3 linked regions of the Elephas maximus indicus genome follow. The protein of the gene in region 1 interacts with the protein of each later gene in a biochemical or structural test. Links are inferred from orthologs where the notes say so. Each region holds a gene or a part of one and is shown on either strand. Other genes may lie near its edges.

What was found.
Region 2: the proteins of ARF1 (region 1) and PLD2 form a complex in vitro, tested with the Homo sapiens proteins (2 studies listed by BioGRID). The link is inferred for Elephas maximus indicus from reciprocal best matches to the Homo sapiens genes ARF1 and PLD2.
Region 3: of the proteins of ARF1 (region 1) and AGAP1, one has a biochemical effect on the other in vitro, tested with the Homo sapiens proteins (2 studies listed by BioGRID, with this or other methods). The link is inferred for Elephas maximus indicus from reciprocal best matches to the Homo sapiens genes ARF1 and AGAP1.

The regions. Positions count from the first base shown.
Region 1 is NC_064820.1:232,616,774-232,623,645, forward strand, and holds the start of ARF1 (ADP-ribosylation factor 1), read right to left. Parts: upstream 4,337-6,872; 5' UTR 4,231-4,336; intron 1-4,230. UniProt on the Homo sapiens protein: Small GTPase involved in protein trafficking between different compartments. Modulates vesicle budding and uncoating within the Golgi complex. In its GTP-bound form, triggers the recruitment of coatomer proteins to the Golgi membrane.
Region 2 is NC_064837.1:14,473,986-14,480,857, forward strand, and holds the start of PLD2 (phospholipase D2), read left to right. Parts: upstream 1-2,592; coding exon 2,593-2,782; exon of another isoform or gene 2,783-2,868; coding exon 2,869-2,999; exon of another isoform or gene 3,000-3,080; coding exon 3,081-3,223; intron 3,224-3,601; exon of another isoform or gene 3,602-3,628; coding exon 3,629-3,734; exon of another isoform or gene 3,735-3,756; intron 3,757-3,829; coding exon 3,830-3,895; intron 3,896-4,038; coding exon 4,039-4,097; intron 4,098-4,237; coding exon 4,238-4,330; exon of another isoform or gene 4,331-4,421; coding exon 4,422-4,574; intron 4,575-4,978; coding exon 4,979-5,128; intron 5,129-6,872.
Region 3 is NC_064824.1:137,770,777-137,777,648, forward strand, and holds the start of AGAP1 (arf-GAP with GTPase, ANK repeat and PH domain-containing protein 1), read left to right. Parts: upstream 1-2,498; 5' UTR 2,499-2,949; coding exon 2,950-3,886; intron 3,887-6,872. UniProt on the Homo sapiens protein: GTPase-activating protein for ARF1 and, to a lesser extent, ARF5. Directly and specifically regulates the adapter protein 3 (AP-3)-dependent trafficking of proteins in the endosomal-lysosomal system.

The DNA.
Region 1 (6,872 bases):
CCTGGCACAAGAGAAATGCTCAAAGCTATAAATACTTTGCCAAAAGATACAGTCTAAATATAAATTAATGGAATCAGTCAGTTAATGAAGAATTGCACTCTGGTCCATACAGGAGTAGGAAGCTGCTCCTTTACAGGCATGCGTACTGTTTAGAGCACTCTTTAAAAGGAAATCCTCTGTCCTGCGTCCCTCTGTCTACATTCCTACTCTTCAAAGGACTCTACAGAGACTTTACAAATTGTTTTCTTGGCTGTTTGCACCTAAATCAAACTGATCACCTGCGGTTGCCAACCACGTGAGTTGAGAGTAGAACCGTGTGCCACAGGGTTTTCAAGGGCAGAGTTTTCCGGAGATCCCCAGGCCTTTCTTCTGAGGCACCTCTGGACGGACTCAAATCACCGACCTTTCAGTCAGTAGCCAAGTTCGTTAACTATTTATTTGTACCACCCCAGGGTCTTCAAATCAAACTGACAGGATACTTTACAAACTTCTTGTTAAAAATCTTTGGTATCTCAGAGGATTAGAACCACTAAGTTTCCTGTGCAGCTTCCATATGCAGTAGTGCAAAAGTTACTGAATGTATGAAGAAAAGGAAGAAAAAAAAAAAAGACATTCTTTTCCATAAAATCAAATACTACGACTTGAAGCCCTTTAGAAATGAATCCTTCTAATCTGCTAGCATTTCTTTTAGGAGTAAAAGTTGTTTCCAAAATACACACTCCTACATCCTTAAGATGTGCACAGATCATAATCAAATCTCTAAGTAACTTAAACCACACAGCAACAGCACCCTTCAGGCCTCGGAGATGTATAAAAAAGTCTGCCTCCTAAACTGAATAGCTCCCAATGCTATGTTTTTGAAATTTGCCTGGCTTTATGTTTTTTCCTGTCTCCTCCCTCGCTGTCACTTAAACCATGCCCCTTGCTATTGTCAGGGACTGGAAGGAACTCCTTCTTCCCTTTCTAGTCACTGATGACAGATTGTTAAGCTCCAGTTACCACTGTATGTAAAACCAGGAAACGGGATAGTATGGAGGTTGGGTTCCTCAATCAGCCAGCCTCCACCATTCTTTCCAGTTTCTACAGGGCAGCTGCTGTGACAAGACTCTGTGGGTGAGGGCCAAAGAGATTCTCCTAGAAATAAAGAGTCCTGATGTTTCTGTGTTAAATCTTGCCATTTTTTTCCAGCTAATCAGGCCATTTGACCCACCTGAGAATGCGAAACTACCTTCCTGAATAGCTGTAAAAGATGAGGTGCAACTATATTTCACAGAGCTTATGACAATCACAAGAGGGTACAAGCCTAAGGATGAAAAAATGATCTTAAGTGTTATCCAGGTGACCTGGAATTTCTATCTCCTCCTTTCTCTCCCACCACCCTTTACTTCCCCATACGTAGGGTCAGACCCAACTCACAATTAGGTCAAAATCTTTTCCAAAAGCCTACTTCAGAGGATGCTAAGAGGACATCTTTAACAACCACCTATGCCAGTAAAATGGCTGGCAGTTCAAATCCGCCAGGTGCTCCTTGGAAACTCCATGGGGCAGTTCTACTCTGTCCTATAGGGTCGCTATGAGTCTGAATCGACTCGACGGCGCTGGGTTTTTTTTTTTTTATGCCGGTTAAGGAGCCATACAGCACAAAAAAGGTACTTCTCATTTAATGTCAAACTCCCAACTGAAAGAAATGTCTGTTTCTCTCCCAACTACCTCTAACAGATCTGCATTTTTATTTCCCTTCACTTCTACTAATACCATTATGAAGGCTGAACGGGTCAAAGGGAGAGTCCCTATCACGGACAATGTGGACAAGGATAGTCTGTGAAAAGCATGGCAAATCCAGAATGGCTGAGGTCTGATCATCTGTAAAGTAGAACGATAACAACGCTCAGGAAGGTGTGTGCAAAAAAGTGTGAAAAGCCTGATCTGTGATTAACAGCCAATTTTAAATCCAGACATATCAAGGCAAAATTTAATTAGAAAAATCTGAAAAAACTGATTCAATGCTCTCAAGCCAAATTAATATACCATTGTAAGAACCTGCACAACAGATTTTTTTTTTCCCTTGGTTGGGTTTACTCCTATGGCCCTTTGACTCCGGAGATCACCTCAGCAGTTGATGGCCCATATTACATTTTCCTGACGTGAATAAGAAAAGCCAGACTGTACCTTTGTTGAGATTCAGGCCTGTCTGGTTTTGGGTACAGACAGGTCAGCAGTTGAAGAAGTCCGAATGTCCTCTTCATATTGTGCAATCAGCTAAACACCATGATTTTTAAAATCCAGAACCCTAGAGAGCACAGAACTAGTTTCTGCTTTCTACTAATTCTCTCTCACTGATGAGTGGTGGAGTGTAAGTCAAGCCAGCTATTATCCAAACCAGTGATTTTAAATCTCTCTGGAGTAGCAATTCTGAGTATCTGAGAATACCCCCACACGAGCAGCATATTTCTAATGCTGACATTATATTTTTCAACATGATATTTAGGAAGACCAGTAAAACTCTACAATGTGGCACATCCAGGACTGAGGACCTCCACTAGGAGGTTACCAGAAGATCTTAGTGCAAGCAAGATAAGAACCTCTGACCAACGTGGCCGATGGCGATGACACCACAGAGCAGTAGCACTTTGTTAACCCGTGGAGAATGTCAAGGCAGAAGACCACAGGATCAGTACACCATGCAGTGACCTTATACTCCCTCAGACACACTGCTGGAAACACCAGGACCAGTCGTGCACACAGCAAGTAGGAAAAAGTGCTGACACTAGTTCTGAAAGGAGAACTGGGACTGACAACTCCAACACCAGTGGTGACATCAACTGTGCAGCTCTTAACAGAAACTTCTGGGACCACCCAAAAGCTTTTGAAATTTCCTCGTTTTCTGCCAGCCATTTCTTGTGCAATTCTGCTCAAGTCATTTAAAACAGCAGTTTGCTTTTCCTTTCGATGAAATGGGGAGTGTGCCACCAGGCTCCGAGGTACTGTCTCAAATAATTACTTAATGTTTTAAGTACTGTATAATTGTTAAGCCTTATTAACAAAACTACCATTTTCCATGCCGTAACAACCCGGATTGTGCAACAGGAAAGCATGAGGTCAGCTCTGCTAAAGAGACTGCCTAGACTTTAGGAGCAAATTGTTTTACAGGTAGGTTAAAGATTCGCCAGCTGCGAAAGAGGTATTCTTATCTACTCCCCAAGACATTCAAGGAAAAAGTCCTAAGGTTAAAAAAGCAAGGATAATTCAGTCCTCTAAAGGCCACAGGAGCCTCGACTGCCGATTTACTCAGAAGGCAGCTCCCTGAGCTTGGCATCCTTTAAAGTCTTCGCATCTCCTAGGCTACGCCGGGTTTGTCTTAGAGGTCTACAGATCTCACTCACGTGAAAGCCGAACCTCCATTCGGCAACAGAGGCAAAGCCCAGGGCCCCTGCCCTCAGGCAGCTCCCAGCCGCTCCTCCCCTCCCCCAGCACCCGCCAGGCGAACTCCGACTCCCAGCTTCTGAGCAAACAGGAACTGGAGGCAGGAGGCCTAGGTTCAAACCCTAGCGATCTGTGACCTTCACCGAGTCACGGAGCCGATCCAAGACTCAGTTTCCTGATCCCTCATAAACCTCGAGGCTTATAAAATTTCCTCTCCAGAGGTCGGCACCCGGAGGCGCCTGGAAGGGGCCGGCTAGACGTTCATCCGTCCTTGGGAGACCACCGCGCCCCGAGCCCTAAGCGCCCCGCTTCCTCCTCCACCCTGCCAGGGCAAAATGACTCAAACGCGCCGGCTCCAACTTCCTTTCCCTGCGCCGGTCACCGGCGAGCGAGTCCCGCTCGAACAAGCAGTTCCCGAGCAGAGGAGGAAGCAAACCTCTCGGCTTCGAAGGCGGGGAGGGCTCCAGAGAAGGAGCAGGAAACGAAGGCTTTTTAAAGGAAAAGCCCGACCTCCCGGCGAGGCCAGGACCGAAGCCCGCGCCTCCGGATCTCGGGACCGGCGAGGGGGAGGCGGCGAGGGTGCCGGGCGAGAACGCGCGGGAGCGTTCGGGGTAGCAGAGGCCAACAAGGGGGACACGGGAGGCGCCGACCAAGCCCTCCGCGCCCCGACCGCTCGGCCCAGCCCCAAACCGCCCGGCCCTACGGCCTCGCCTGCCTCCGGTCCCGCCGCCGCCGAAGGGGCGAGACACGCGCGAACCCCAGGGCTAGCCCCGCCGCCTGCCCGCACCGTGCCCCCCGCCGTCTCACCCCTCGGCGGCCGGGCGGCTGCTGCTGCTGCTACTGCTGCTCCGAGCCAGGCGTTGGTTTCGCTCCCACAAGATGGCGGCTCTGACGGCGGCCACGTCAGTGCCTGCTGCCGCGGGAGACGCCGGGTAACTGGGGCAGGGACATCGCAGGCCACGCCCACACCGCTCCGGGTGCGCATGCGCGGGCCGCGCGCGGAGGCGGAGCCGGCGGGCGAGCAGCGAGGGAACGGCGCCCCGCCCCTGGCCGGTCCCGGTCTTACGGGTCCAGGTGCCTTAGCGGTCCACGCGATCGGACGGGCAGTGGGCGCGCTGGGCGCCGGGCCAGCTGCGCCTCTCACCGACGTGGAACCGGGGCCTGGAGCGGTGGGACGGGGCCAGGCCCTCCTGTCCAGTCCCTCCCGTCCGGTCCATCGCCGGCAGAAGGAGCCCACCTCCCTGCGGCCCGCGCGCGGCATCGTGGGGGGCCCCGTGGCCACCACCAGGCGGCCACACACAGAAAAGGGGGTTTCCAGGGAGCTTTCAGGCCTCCGGCGTCCTCCTCCTGCAAACCGGAACGTTACTGGACGCCGTCCAAGGGCCTGGCAGAGACCAGAACAAACGCGCTTGTCCCTGGAGCTGACCTGCGGGAGCACCGTCCTATATGGAAGAAATAAATGATTTACTGAGTCCGGTAGTACGGGGTCAGCAGGGCAGGAAAGCCAGTGGCACGAGGGAGAGTGATTGCAGGGGGGTGGTTGGGTGACCTCTAATGAGGAAGGGACAGACTTGACGGTGAGGCTTGGAGGAGACATTTCCTGGGGAAGCCTCCCTGAACCGATCACTCCCCCCAGTTTCTCAGGGTGCAGGAATCTGGCTCTGGCCTCCACTGTGAGGCTCACTTTGGCCTCCAGCTGACCCCTAGGGCTACATCCTCCCATCACCCTCATGTGACTTTGAATCCCCCGCGGTGGGTGCTCCTCATTCCAGAAGCTTTAGTGGAAATGCAGGGAAGCTTTCCAGCCCAGTGCCCTAGGTGTTGTGGGTGGCCAAAAGTGGAGCCTTCACTTGGGTCCTGGCATAATCACTCCGTGGCGAGTCCAGGGGCCTGCCTGATGAGGCGGTCAGCACCAGAGCCTGCAGAGCAACTGTGGCCCGGCAGACAGCCTCCTGTCCCCAAGTGCACCCATCACCCACCTGGCAAAGGCGGTGTGGCCTGCTCGCTGGGCTGGCGTGGCCCGGGTCTCACGATGCCAATGCTGCCATCACCCCAGACAGCAATGACCCTGTGACCCACCTGTCTCCAAATACTGCTTTTCTCCTCCTTCTGAAATAATGAGAACCCAGGCCCCCATAGACAAGTCCCTGCTCCAGCCCCCAAAACATGTCATCTGTGGAAGAGCCCACGGCTCCCCTGCCTGCAAGCGCCACCCCGTTCTCTGCCTGGGACACAACTGCCATCACACTACCAGCTCAGATGTCACCTCTGTCAACTGCTGTGGGGTTGTCTGTTTAGGGGTCTCTCTCCCATTCGGACCTATAACCCATTACCACTGAGTTGGTTCCAACTTATATGACAGAGTAGAACTGCCCCGTAGGGTTTCCAAGGCACTAATCTACACGGAAGCAGACTGCCACAGCTTTCTCCCTCAGAGTGATTGGTGGGTTTGACAGGGGTTAGCAGCCCAGCACTTAATTACTGTGCCACCAGGGTTCCCCTCTACAAATACTCCTGTGAAGTGCTCCTGGGTCTGCATTCCCAGGGAGGGACATGGAGGTTCCCTAGAACTGCAGTGGTCATGGCTCTCACCCCAGGGAGCTGGCCTGTGGCTGGTGTCTCCCACAGTCATCCTAGAGATCCTAGCCACATGTGAACCTTGTGATCACAACTGCTTCAAAGCTGAGGAACCGAGGAAAGGAGCAGTGAGGAGACAGACTTAGAGGTGGCAGTACCTGAAAACTGGAGCTCACCTTCCCTTTTCTTTAAAAAGAAAAAAAAAAAAAAAGTGAAGGCTATCATACATAGGAAGGAGTGTGTGTAAGATACACACAGTTTTAAAAATAAATGAATTCCAGGTTAAGAAATGTAACTTCCTCCCAAACTCGGCCTCCTGGTTTTGCCCCCAGGGCAAGGGAGCTGTCTTCAGGTTAAAGCAGGCACACCAGGGGAATAATTCCAAGATCAGGAAGTGTCAGGCAGTTATTTAGCGAAACTAAGGCCCAGGTGCTTGCCCAAGTTGACAAGGGAGTTAGGGCTTCCGTGTCCCTCTTGTGTGGGACTCCCAGGATAGAATCTCTTCAAGGTGGGGCCTAGAGTGGGTGCCTTCTCAGCCTTGGCCAGGAGGCGGCGCAGAGCACAGGCCCTGGGGTGTCCACATTCCGCAGCCACCTTAGCTGATAACTCAACAGCTTGGGGAGATCCCAACCCAGCTTCCCTTTCTGACTAACCTGCCGGGCCCCTTGCCCCTGACAGATGCTCAGAGCAGTCAGGGCTGAACAGGACAGCATCCTGAGGAAGGTGGGCTGGAAGGATGGGCAGGACGGGCCTGAGTGAAGGGGCAGAAGTGGCCGGTTTGGCTGGAATGGAGGTGTGAGGAGGGAGCACTCATACACTCAAGGACACCAGCCCTGCCCCCAGGGGCGGGTGGATGTTAAAATTTGGCTAGT
Region 2 (6,872 bases), on another chromosome or scaffold:
CCCACAGCAAGCGAGTTTAGTTTTTGGGGTTTTGTACCAAGTAACTACTGATCAGATTTGTATCACCACTGATTGTTTTTGCCTGTTTTAGAACTTCAGGTAAATTGAATCATATCGTATTACACTTTTGTGAACAGCTTCTTTCAGCATATTTTTAAAATTCATTCATGTTGTTGTGTGTATTAAACATTAACAAAAGTATACATCAGTATATTCACAGAGTTGTACAATTATCATCATTAGTTTTATCCTATTTTCATCACCCCCAAAAGAAGCCGCATATACCTTAGCAATCACTCCCCACTCCCCCTCCCGCCAGCCCCTGGGAACCACTAATCTTCTTTCTGCCTATGTAGGACATTTCATATTAATGGATCATATAATATGTGGCCTTCACTTAGCATAATGTTTACAATTTTCTTGGGTATTTACCCAGGAATGGACTTGCTGGGTCATATGGTAACTATGTTTAATACTTGGAGGAATTGCCAAACTGTTTTTCAACTTGGCTGTATCATTTGATGATTTGTTCATTTTTATTGCTGGGTAATATTCTACTGGAGTCCCTGGGTGGCGCAAACAGTTAAGCGTTCGACTACTAGTCAAAAGGGTGGCAGTTAGAACTGACCCAGAGGTGCCTCGGGCCTGGCAGCCTGCTTCTGGAAGGTCACAGCCTTGAAAACCCTGTGGAGCAGTTCAACTCTGCATACATGAGGTCACCACGATTAGGATTCAACTGGAAGGCAATTAACAACAATATTCTGCTGTTAGAATATGATGCAAATTCACCAAAATTAAAATTTTCTGCTCTTCAAAAGGCACCATTATTAAGAAAATGAAAAGACAAGACACATTCTGAGAGAAAATATTTGCAATAGAGAAGTCTGATAAAGAACTTGTATCCAAAATATATAAAGAACTCTTACAATTCAATAAGACAAATAATGGGATTTAAAAAAAAATTGCCAAAAGACTTGGACACTTAACACAAGAAGATATACAAACGGCCAATAAGCACATGAAAAGATTGTCAAGGTTACTAACCATCAGAGAAATGCAAATTAAACCACAACATACCACTTTGCACCTATTAGAATGGCTAACTCATGTTAAGAAGACTGACATGATCAAGTCTGGGAGATCCCCAGAAACTCCAACTATCCCACGTTGATTTTGGAAATGTAAAATAGAACAACCATTTTGGAAAACAGTTTGGCAGCTCCTCATAAAGTTAAACATAAATTTATTACATGAGCTGGCAACTCCACTCCCAAGGGAAATGAAAACATATATCCACACAAAGACATGTACAGGAATGGTCATAGGACCTTTATTCATAACAGAAACTAGAAACAACCTAAATGTCCATCAAAAGGATAAAGAAATCTGACTTCTTATGGATACTGAAATATCTTGTCTTTTAGGACATGAGGATTTTCCTGTTTGGTCCTAGGTTGTAAGTTCCGGGAGAGCAGGTTCGGCGGCTGTCTTGCTCACTACTGTCCGTCCGCTCAGTGTCTGGCAGTGAGCAGGTGCGCAATAATGTTTGGTGACTGGGTGAAAGCATGGATCAGTGAATGCAAGCATGCATACCTTAATTAATTTGTAGCCACCATCGCTCGGGTCTTTTACTCCTTCTATCTACAAACACTGGCTGGGCCAGGCCCGAGGTAGTTCGTTGCCGGCCCGGGACGGGAGGCAGCGGACGCCCGTGGCGGACGCGCGTCCTGCCAGGGTTCCAGCCAGTGCAGGCGGGATGGTAAGGACCGAAGGGCCGGCGCCCGAGCGGAGGAATGCGCACCGCCCCGAGCGCCCACAGGGCGGCGGCCGGCCCGGCTCGGACCGACGGCGCGGGACAGACGAACAGACCGGCGGACAGTAGCCAGCTGGACGCACCCACCTGGCCGCGCGGCCCCCAGGGCAGAATGAGCCCCCGGGCAAAGGCTGCTCGCGGGCCTGCGGGCGGGCCGAGGGCGGCGGGGGCGGGACGGGACCGACGAGAATCCCGCGGAGGTGAGGCCGGGGGCCGTCCCGCCCCCGAGGGCAGGCCCTGAGTCCCGGCCCCGCCCCGGGCCGCTGGGGTGTGGGCTACGCCGCCCGCTGCGCTCGGCTCCCTCCGCTCGGAACCCGCGCCGGCGCCGGCCGGGGCTGCCAGGGTGAGGCTGGAGAGGGGCGCCGCGGGGGCCTGGGGCCCGGAAATCGGACGGGGACGGGATGGGCTTGGACTGCCGGGCCTCCTGACGCAGCCGCACTCGGATTTCGGGGTTTCTCTCCCGAATCGGGAGCGCGTAACTTCCTCCTTCCCGCCTGGATCTATCTGGTCTCCCACCCTACTTGACACCCAGGGTCCTTCCTGCCCCGGCTTCTGCTCTGTCCCAGTTCGGGGCCACCCGGGCCTGGCCCAGTGCCCATTGGCTCTCTAGTTACGGGGCGGGGGGCGGGGCTGAGGGATTCAGGATGCAGAACTGAGGTAGGGGGATGGATGGTCAAGGGGGTTCGTCAGGTTCGTTGCAGACCGATCCGGCCGTAATCAGAGAGAGGCTGGGGCTCAGCGGGAGCCAGGTGAGTGGGGAAGAGGAAGACCTGTGGGAGATGGTGGTCCGTAGGGGCTGGCATAGGGGGCAGGGTTCTTCCAGGCAGGCCACCTGCCTGAGGCCTCCCCATGTTCCTAGGATGATGGCCACCCCAGAGAGCCTGTTCTCCACTGGGGGCGACCTGGACCCAAGCCAGCTACAGATGGAGCCCGATGAAGTGGACACCCTGAGGGAGGGAGAGGACCCAGGTACACAGAGAGGACAGCCCTCAAGGAGTGGGGGACAAGGGGACTGGGGCCTCCTGGATGGACACTCTCATTTTGTTTCCACCCAGCTGACCGGATGCACCCCTTTCTGGCCATCTATGACCTTCGGCCTCTGAAAATGCACCCTTTGGTGTTCGCCCCTGGAGTCCCTGTCACAGCCCAGGTGGTGGGCACTGAAAGATACACCAGTGGATCCAAGGTGGCCAGGCTGGCACCAGGAGGCGGGTGAAGGGAGGACTGGCAGAGTGGAAGACTGGGATCCAACTTCAGTTCTTTGCAGGTGGGAACCTGCACCCTGTATTCTGTCCGCTTGACTCATGGCGACTTTACCTGGACAACAAAGAAGAAGTTCCGCCATTTCCAGGAGCTGCACCGGGACCTCCTGAGACACAAAGTTCTGATGAGTCTGCTCCCTCTGGCGCGGTGAGAAGGAGCAAAGTGCTTACTGTGCAAGGCAGGCGCCTTTCACCCCATAGAAGCACGAACTCCCCATCCTCATGATTTCTTCAAGCCTCTCTCACCCCAGCCACAACCTTTCCTCCTCCCAACTCTGGCCGCCAGGCACCCCTCCTCACCCTGGTTGCCAGAAAACCTTCCATGCTCCGCTCTCCCTGCCCATGGTTTTGTGCCAATACCTCGGCCGGGCTCAATGCCCAAAATGCCCTTGGCAGTCTCCTGCATTCTCTTGTCTCCATTCCCAGGGTAGGGGGGCTCCCTCCTGCCAGTCTCTAGGCTTCCTGCCCTCCCCCAACACTCCACCCAGTGCTCCAGAGGCCCAGGCACCCAGGCCTTAGCTCTTACCTGACCCTCACCCCATCCCTTCCACAGCTTTGCTGTTGCCTATGCTCCAGCCGGAGAGGCCACCAACAGAGAGATTCCCTCTCTGCCCCGAGCGGTTCCTGAGGGCTCCGCCAGACACGCAGCCAGCAAACAGGTGAGATCAGACACCAGGTCTTCTAGGAAGGGGTTTGGTGTGCAAATGGCTCTGGTCCCATCTGTTTCTCTCTCTTCCCTCCATCCCCGCTTCAGAAGTACCTAGAGAATTATCTCAACCGCCTCTTGGCCATGTCTTTCTACCGCAACTATCACGCCATGGTAAGGCCCTGGGACTGGATGCCTGGGTCCATTTGAGCTAGGAAGGATCATCAGACTACCAAGGGAGCTAAGGACCAGGGTTGGTAGGGTCTGAGGGACTGAGAGCCAGGGTCTCTCCTCTGAGCCTTTGCCTTCTTTTGCAGACAGAGTTCCTGGAAGTCAGTCAGCTGTCCTTTATCACAGACCTTGGCTCCAAAGGACTGTGAGTGTCTAACACCCCTCACCCAGCCATCTGCAAACATTTCAGGATCTCTCCCTGCCCTGAGAATAGGGAATGCAGTGCAGAATGGGTTGGGAGGTTTGAGTTCCTCATCTAGTATCTCTTCTTGATTTTCCCTACAGGGAGGGGGTGATCCGCAAGCGCTCAGGGGGCCACCGGGTTCCTGGCCTCACCTGCTGTGTCCGAGACCAAGTTTGTTATCGCTGGTCCAAGAGGTGAGGGCTGGGCTGCACGGCTGGGCACTGGGTGGGGGTGAGGAAGGAGATCCGAGGGCAGGGAGGAACGGATGGAGCCCTTCCGCTCCAGGTGGCTGGTGGTGAAGGACTCCTTCCTGCTGTACATGTGCCTCGAGACCGGCGTCATCTCATTTGTCCAGCTCTTCGACCCTGGCTTCGAGGTGCAAGTGGGGAAAAGGAGCACAGAGACACGGTATGGGGTCCGCATTGACACCTCCCACAGGTAAGGCCGCTTGGGGAGTGGAGAGCCAGGCCTAGAGCCCTGAGGGTTGTTGAGTGGGAGAGACCATGGAAGAGAAGAAAGTTTCTACCAGGGAGCTCGGCCAGCCAGATGCTTGGGACTGTTCTTAAAGTCCAGGCTCAGAGAAAAGGGTTTGAATGTAAGCCTGGGAGAGGGGCTGATAAAGACAAAAAGGAACTCCATTCATTCACTGAACCTAAGTGTCTGGCATCATACTAGGTGCTGGATACGCAACGGCAGGTATGTGCCCTGTCCCTATGGAGTTGTGAGTCAGGGACTAAGACAGGAAGTGGGAAAGAAGTGCTAGTCAAAGGGGGGAGGTCTCAGGGCAAGGCCAGAGGCATGGAGGTGGAGGGTTAGTGCTCCATTTCATTGCTCCTGTCCAGGTCCCTGATTCTCAAGTGCAGCAGCTACCGGCAGGCACGGTGGTGGGGCCAGGAGATCACCGAGCTGGCTCAGGGCCCAGGCAGAGACTTCCTACAGCTGCACCAGCATGACAGCTATGCTCCGCCCCGGCCTGGGTCCCTGGCCCGGTGGTGAGACACTGACATCCCTTCTGAGCATGTCTTGACCCCCGCGGTGTTTTTTGACTCCTTTACCCTCTCTTTTATCTCCTATGACCCTTCCGATCTCATTGACCCCCTTTGACTTCTGTCATCTCCCTGACCTTTTTAAGCTTGCTGATCGCTCTGATCTGATCTTTCGGATCTTAACCCCTTTGACCTCCAAACTCCTCTGACCCCTGACCTCTCTGATCTCCTGTGACCTTAATCCCCTTCCCGTACATCAGCTCCCTTTGTTCTCTCTGCACTCCTCAAGTCTCTCTGATGTATTCATTCATTTAGTAAACATTTTCTAAGCACCTACTGTGTGCCAGGTCTAATGCTGGGAATGACACAGGATTCTCTGGTTTCCCCTCCAGTTAGTTGAGTGGGTGATTCCGTCATGAAACAGTGTGAACTTGCCACACTAGCGATAGATGCAGAGTGAAGAGCCCAGAGGAGGAGCGTCTGGCCCAGCGTGGGGATGTCAGGACAGGCTTCCAGAAGGCAGGAACACCAAGGTTAGCCTTAGCAAGACAAAGAAAATGGAGACAGCTGTCCGAGCAGAGAAGACAGGAATAGCCTGACGTGTCTGGGAACCAGCAGGATTGCTTGTTGTTGGAGCGTGAGGAGGCGTGGTCAGAGAAGAGTCCAGGGGAATCCGCAGCGTGTGATCATGCAGGGCCCCATGTGCTAGGCGCTAGGCTAAGGAGGTTGAACGTTATCACAGGCCAGAGGGGAGTCATGGAAGGAATTTTGTGTTGGAGGTAGTTTTGAGAATTTTTTTTTACAAAAGAACTAGTAATAGCTAATGCTTACGTAGCACTTAACTATGTGCCAGCAACTGTTCTAAGTGTTTTACGTGTGTTAACTCGTTAAGTGCTCACGATAACCCTATGAGGCAGGTACAGTTGTTTTCTCCATTTTACAGATGAGGAAAATTGAGGCAAACAGGTTTAGAATCTTGCCTAAGGTCACACACCTTGTCAACAGTGGAACCAGGTGGAGGTCTGGGTTTAGTACCTGTGCTTAACCACCAAAGTAGACTGTTGGTTATTAAAAAGTCTAACAATATGGAAACACATTTCCCGCTCATCGACCACTCCTTTACCCCAACTCCCTTCCGGCAGTCCCTCCCGACAACCCTATTTCTCTCCCCAGAAGCAACCCTGGCGACAGTTTGATCTGTATCCTCCCAGGTCTTTTTCTGTTGTTTTCATATGTGCACGCACAGCTGTCTATTTTAACATGAACAAGTTCACTCTTCTGTGACTTACTTTTTCACTTAACACATGTGTTAGAGATTAGACGTTTAGGTTACTTCCAATTTTTCAGTTTTATACAACTGCTGAGATGTACACAATCTTTGCCTAAGCATTTTATAGGACGTAAGAAACCCTGGTGATACAACACTTAAGCGCTCGGCTGCTCACCAAAAGGTTGGTGGTTCGAACCCCCCCACCAACCGGCTCTGTTGGAGAAAGGCCTGGTGATCTGTTTCCATAAAGATTACAGCCTAGAAAACCTTATGGGGCAGTTCTGCTGCATCACATGGGGTTGCTATGAGTTGAAAATCGATTTCACAGCACCTAATAACAACAACAACTTTCCTAGAAATATAATTACTGGGTCAAAAGGTGTGTTCATTTAATATTTTAATAAACCAAAAACCCAATGCCATTGAGTCGATTCCAACTCATAGTGACCCTATAGGACAGGGTAAAACTGCCCCATAGTT
Region 3 (6,872 bases), on another chromosome or scaffold:
TTGCCAGGTAATATTGAGATGTTATTTAGTGTGAGGCACTGGTAGTTCAGTGGTAGAAATCTCATCTTCCACGCAGGAGACACGGGTTCAGTTCCCAGCCAGTACACTTCACGTACAGCCATCTCTCAGTGGAGGCATCTGCATTGCTATCTATAATGCTGGACAGGTTTCAGTGGCGGTTACAGACTAAAAGAGACTAGGAAGAAAGGCCTGGCAACCTACCTCTGAAAATCTGCCAGTGGATTCTTTATGGATCACAGCGTTCTGATCTGTATCCGATCTTGGGGTGGTGCACAACCAGACAGCGTTCTAATCTATTGTGCATGGGGTTGCTGTGCGTTGGGGGTCAATTCTGCAGCAGCTAACAACAGCAACGTCAAGTTCAGTAATACTCACAAATGTGTTCCTCCCTTCGTTGTCAAGAAGACAAAAGGGCATTGTAGGCAGGAATGGGCACGGGGAGTGTAACCCCACGACCCTAGCTTCAGGTTCCATTGCTGAGCAGGGCAGCTTTGGGGGAAGTGCTCACACTCTCTGAGCCTCTGCATCCTGCTGACCCACTGGGCTCTAGAAATGCTCTTGTGGGTAACTACCTCTGGGCTCCCTGTTAGCGCTAATGTGTAACTTGGTTGAAGGTGGGGGGTAGTTCTTGTACCTCATCAAGGAAGGCTTCTTTATTGAAATTCAGAAAGTAAAGTGACCTCTCCTGTGTCTCCACCCATAACTGAGGACATTTTGGAGGGACTCTTGCAACCCTGTGGTGGTAGAAATTATGTTGTCAGAGTAGAGACCACTGAGGGTAGCCAAAACATGTTTCAGAGTATCTGTTTAAAAATAAGCCACAGTCACCAAGCAGTCTTTCTGAGGTATCTAATTAAAGAACCAAAAAAAAAAAAAAAAAAAATTGCCATGAAGTCGATTCCGACTTACAGTGACCCTATAGGACAGAGTAGAACTGCCCCATACGGTTTCCAAGGAGTGCCTAGTGGATTCAAACTGCTGACCTTCTGGTTAGCAGCTATAGCTCTTAAACACTACACTACCAGGATTTCCTGTATGTAATTAGACCTGAATATTTAACTCTGAGATAAAATCTAGATTCCCTAGGCTATAATCTCTTTCATAGGAAATCTTATCTGATCCATCTTTATATCCCTTTCCCTGCCATGAACACAGTGAACAAAAAAAACCCAAACCCATTGCCATCAAGTCGATTTTGGCTCATAGCGATGCTGTAGGCCAGGGTAGAACTGCCCCATTGGGTTTCCATGGAACAACTGGTGGATTTGAACTGCCGACCTTTTGGTTAGCAGCCAAATGCTTAACCACTACCTCACCAGGGCTCCGTAGGTGTTCTATAACTATTTGTTGAAAGATGAAAGAAGAGAAAATCAGTCCTTGACAGTCTGGCTTGCGAACAGCGCATCCTGAGCGACGCTTGGCCTGGTTTCACCTTGCCATCAGGACCATCCCTAGAAACAGCTTCTTGACACAGTTGTCGGCGTTCCCAGGCTTAGAGAAGGACATATAAGTGTCTGGTTTGATTAACAGACGTGGTGTTCATGACATTTTTCTCTAGGAAACGTTTATACACACTCACAAACAATAAAGCCATGTTCAGGACATCATGTGGGGCTGATGTCGATCGACTGTATACACACATTGTGCTGTATCAGATAATATCCAGAACCAGCAGGTGTTAGAGTGAAGAGAGTGGGAACATTTGCTGGAGAAGCTGGACTTTAAATATTCATGGCCACTAGTTCGTGCTTACACAGAATGCCTGGCACAGACTGTATTAACTAACTTAGTCCTCACACGGAGTTCTGTGTTTAGGCACCATTTTCATCCCCATTTTACAGGCGAAAAAACTGAGGTGTCTAGAGATTTAAGTAACTTACCTATAGCCACTGCCTAGTACGTGGACACAGTTCCTGGGGCGGGGGTGGGGGGTGCAAAAGGTTAACATGCTCAGCTGCTAATGAAAAGGTTGAAAGTTTAAGTCCAACCAGAGGCACCACGGAAGAAAGGCCTGGCGGCCTACTGAAACATCACAGCCATTGAAAACTCTACGAAGCACAGTTCTACTCTGATGCACCCCAGGTCGCCATGAGTTGGAGTCCTAGGCAGCTGGCATTCTGCCTGTTGTGCAGGTCATTTGTTGGAGTTGTTGAGTTCCGACCTGCAGGGCTAGGAGAGAGGGGCCTCGTGTAAAACCGCAGCAGGTGACGGATGCCCTTCTGTTTGGTTTTGCAAGCCAAACGCGGGAGTTTTTGCGTTATTTGGGGCGGGGCGCCAAGCCAGGGGCTCCGGTCCGCGCGGCGCTGATCCACGCCGGCGCTTCGGTGCGCCTGCCGGCCGCGCTCGCCGCCGCTCCGCGCTCCCGGGATCTGCCGGCCGGCTGGGCGCGCGGCCCGGGCGCAGGACGTCGGCCCCGCCGCCCCGCCCCGGCGCGCATTTCCATTTTAAACCGCCGCCCGCCGCCCGCCGCCCGCCGCCCGCCCGCGGCCGCCGCACCGCTCGCGCGCCCGGTCCGGGGAGTGGCGAGGCTGCGGAGCCGCCGGACTGTGAGCGGAGGCCCGGCGATGCGCCCGGGCCCGCGCCGCGAACAATGAGACCGCGGGCGCCGCCGCCCGTCTGGGTCCCTCCGCGCCGCGGCCGCACCTGCGGACGAGAGCGGCCCCACGCCTGAGAGCCCGGCCCGCGGCCCATGGCTCGGGGCCCCGGACTCCGGTACTCTGGCCGCGCGGCGGCGGGCGCTCAGGGGCCGGCTGGCGCCAGGTGTGCCGTCCCCGCGCGCTGAGCGTGGCCTGGGCTGCAAGCAGGGGGCGTGCGTCCACTCCCGGGCCGGGTTCCTGCGCCCCGCCCGGCCACGGACCCGACCCCACGCGCACGGCTCCCGGGCGCGCTGGATGCGGCCGCCCCGCGCCGGCCGGGGCCCCAGGCGACATGTACCTGCTGGACGGCAGCGGCGAGCCTGCGTCGCCGCCCGCGGACGCGATGCCGCGCGGGACGCCCCCCAGGAAGACCGTCTACCGCATCTCCGTGACCATGGTCCGCAAGGATCAGCTGGCGGGCCCCGACCCGGGCCCAGCCCGGCGTCCCCGTCCAGCGCGCTCCCCGGACGCGCCCGGGCGGCTCGTGGAGGAGGCAGAGGAGGCGGCGGGTGGCGAGGACGCCGAGAGTGGCCGGCCCCACGCCTGGCACGCCCGCACCTTCCGCACTCGTAGCACCGGGCAGCTGGAGCTCGGGCGGCTCCGAGTATGCGCCCGTGGTCTCGAGCCCGCGGAGGGCCGCGCCATCAGCCCCCCGGCCGTGGAGCCCGGGGCGGAGGCGCCCAGCAGCCTCGACGGGGAGGTGCCGCGAGCCGCGCCCCTGCGGCGGAGCCTCAGCTTCCGACACCGGAGCGGCCCGGACCCTACGCGGGGCCAGGCGCCTGGCCGCGGGCGGCGCCACAGTAGCTCGGGTAGCCTGGGCCGCACGCCGGGTGCCGAGGCCGGGCCTGGTACCGCCGCGCCGCCCGCCCCTGAGAAGCGCAACACCCTGGACGTGGGCGAGGTGCTGAGCAAGGGCGCCGCGCTCTCGGAGCTGGAGCGCTGGGAGCGCAGCAAGAGCAAGCACCGCACTCTGGACAACAGCGACCTGCAGCGGCTGGAGCGTGCGCGCGCGGCCGCTGGCTCCGGAGCGGCCCCCGAGCGCCGGCTGCTGCGCTTCTTCAGCGGCATCTTCGCGCGCAGAGATGGCGTGCCCGCCGGCGGCCCGGGCGGCGGGCGGTCCCCGCGCAGCGGCCCCTCGCGGCCCCGCGGCTACTTCAGCAGCCTGCGGCGCGCCCCGGCTGATACGCACTCGTCCAGCGCCGAGAGCATCGACGGCTCTCCGCGCAGAGGTGGGCAGGGCTGGTGGGCCTGGTCCGGCTTCGCGGGGGCCTGCTAGACAGAGCACGGTGCGACCTGAGCTCCGCTAAGCCACCTGCTCTCCTCAGGTTGCAAAGCCAGCAGGTGGTTGCGCTGCACGTGAACTTGGGTGCTGTGGTTCTCCTCAGCAGTGCTGCAGCGGCTTGGAAGTTCTGGGCTGCCCCTTCCCCTTACCTGGGTGTGGTGTTGCCTTTTGGGGTTGTGTCGCCTCACCGACGGAGAGCTAGCTCGACTGGGGAGAGTACCTTGCCAAAAGGTGCTTTTTTTCCGCAGGTGCTGGCGCAGCCTTCCAATAGAAGGCCTGTGACCTCTCTAGGGGAGCCAGGCTGTGGTACCTGTGGGGCTGCCGCAGGGAGCTCCGCACAGGTGGTGCTGCGCGACCAGAATTCGATTTTCTTTTCTGGTGAGGCTAGCATTCATTTTAGCTGTTTTTTTCCACCTCCCCCCAGCCTCGTCTTGTTCCCCCAAATCTAGTCTCGTTGTCGTTAGTTGCCAGCGGACACTATTCAGACTCATGGCAGCCGCGTATGCGGGGTAGAACTGCTCCATAGGGTTTTCACGGCTGTGACCATTTGAAAGCAGATTGCCAGACCTTTTTTCCGAGGAGCCACCAGGTGGGTTCAAACTGCTAGCCTTTTGGCCAGCAGTCCAGTGCTTAACCCTTGTGACACTCAGGGATTCCTAGTCTCCTTCTAGGCACTGCCATCTGTGTGCTAGGCTGTGATCTCAGCAGATCCACTCTGACACCTATTGGCTTCCTGGTAAAGACAGTTCCCTCCAGTAGTCAGGACGGGTAGGGCATGTAGATCCACCTCCCCCACAAAGGAGTATCTGCATACAAGAAAAGCTAGTCTGGGTAGGGTTTGGCTTCCTGCAAAGGGCACCAGTGAACGGACATGAAAAGCAAAGCAGACGTCTGTTCTTGCATCTCCGTTCTCTGGCACCTTCTGACAGGGACCTTGCAGGAGGGCTCTGGGGGCAGGTGTGATAACATGCTTCTGCAGGATTCATTTCACCTGCTGGTAGCAGCTGGGGCTCAGAATTCTCCAGAAACTGCAAAACACAAAACCCATCTCACCACATACCTGGGCACCATCCTGGTGGCAGAGGTTGGGAGTGGAGAGGGGGATGTGGATTGTTAACCCCACCCCTCAGGTGTAGGGGAGGGAAGCCGCAGACTTGTCACCCGGCATCTCACTGAGGGCAGGTTATTAGTAACACCTCTCATGCGAATTAAACTGCCGATGCTGCTTTGAGATGAAGGGAAGTTGAGTGAGGGCTTTCGGTTAGACAGAGGCCTCCACTGGCCAGCTAACTACCTCTGGAGAGTATTCCTGCCGGGTCTCCCGGGTTAGCCGACAGCCCTGGTGTGTATCCAGGTATCGGCAACAACCAAATGCAGAGAAATCACTGCCCTTGCTGAAGCATTTTCCAGGTAAAACTGAAGACCCCGTGTCTTAATGTACTTATATTGACCCTCAGAGTGTTATGTTTGAGATCAAGTGGTTGAATGTCTAGTAGTAATAAAGCCTAAATTCATTTTTAATAGCAAGGATATAATATGAAGTATCACGTTACCAGGTTTGTAGTAGTTTGACCTGCTGTACATAGAAATGGGCTAGACTGTAATACTTTAAAGTATGCATCCCTTCCCAGTACGTTAGCATAAAGCGTCTTTCCCTTCCAGCATGCTCTTGGCGATACTAGAAAAAGGTAGGAGTTACTTTGGTTTGCATAAAGTTGCTACTGCCATCGGATGTGCTCAGAGGAGGCTCAAACCCACAGCTCCCGCTTCTGCCTATAATAGCAGGCTTGCATCTTTGCTGTCACGGACTTCGTAGAAAATAGTAATTAACTGCCTGGGTTCTAGACAGCACCCCTGGAACAGAGCGTACAACGAGCACACAGGTGCGTATTTAGAACACAAGCGCTCCATTGTGGTGTCTGTTGATACAGGTTAAAAGCATTTGAGGTTTGGGCTTTTCTCCTCTGGCCAAATGAATTGATAGCAGATTGGAAATAGTACAGGTGTCTTGGCGTTTGCTCCTTTAGTACACTCTAAGGTGGTAATAACATGCCGTAGCGATAACTGTAATGTGCTCAGCCTGTCTGTCCCCTGTGGCCAGTCTGGCTCAGAGCAGCATTACTTGGTCTAAGACATAACGCTCACGTTGTGGTTTATGTAGAGAAATGGGGTGTGAATGAAGTGGGCTTCGGCACAGTCAGAATTCTAGCCCCTCGCTCCGTTCTGAAGTTCTGACCGATCACAGGAGAAGGCTGCACGTGTCGCCTGGATACAGCCTCTCCCCTTGGCTGTTGGTGTTGCTGTTGTTGGGTGCCTTTGAGGCAGTTCCCACGCATAGCTACCTCATGTGGCTGAGGACAACTGCCCCATGGGGTTTACTTGGCCGTGATCATTATGGAAGCAGATCTCCAGGTCTTTCTAAAATACCCGCAGTATGAGTGCCGTTTTCCACTTTTGTGTAAGGCCAGCATTTGCTTCAGGCCAGGGTGCAGCCCTCGCCACCCCCAGGGCCTCGCTTTTATTACACTTTTTAAGTTTTTATGTATTTGCTCCTGTGACAAATTATTCAGTATTTACGTGATATTTAAGTGGAGTTTTGGTTTGAAGGTAAACATTTTTACTTGAAAGTAAAATTCAGAAGCAGTAGAGGCCACACTCGATGTCCCCTGTGAATATCCTATCATAGGACACACTCAAGTCCACAGAGGCTTCCCTCTACCCCCTCACGCCCAGACCCTTGGGGCCAGATGGGTGTGCAGAGCTCAGAAACTTTGAATTTTAGGAAGGCAAGATATGGTGCATGTTCTGGCCCACCACCTGTGGGGACTGGCAGCGTGGTCAGACCCTTCTTCTGCTACACAGCCTCAGGGGTATCCACACTCAGTAGGATAAATACCGATTAGAAATAGCCACATGGCAGCTCAAGTCCGACT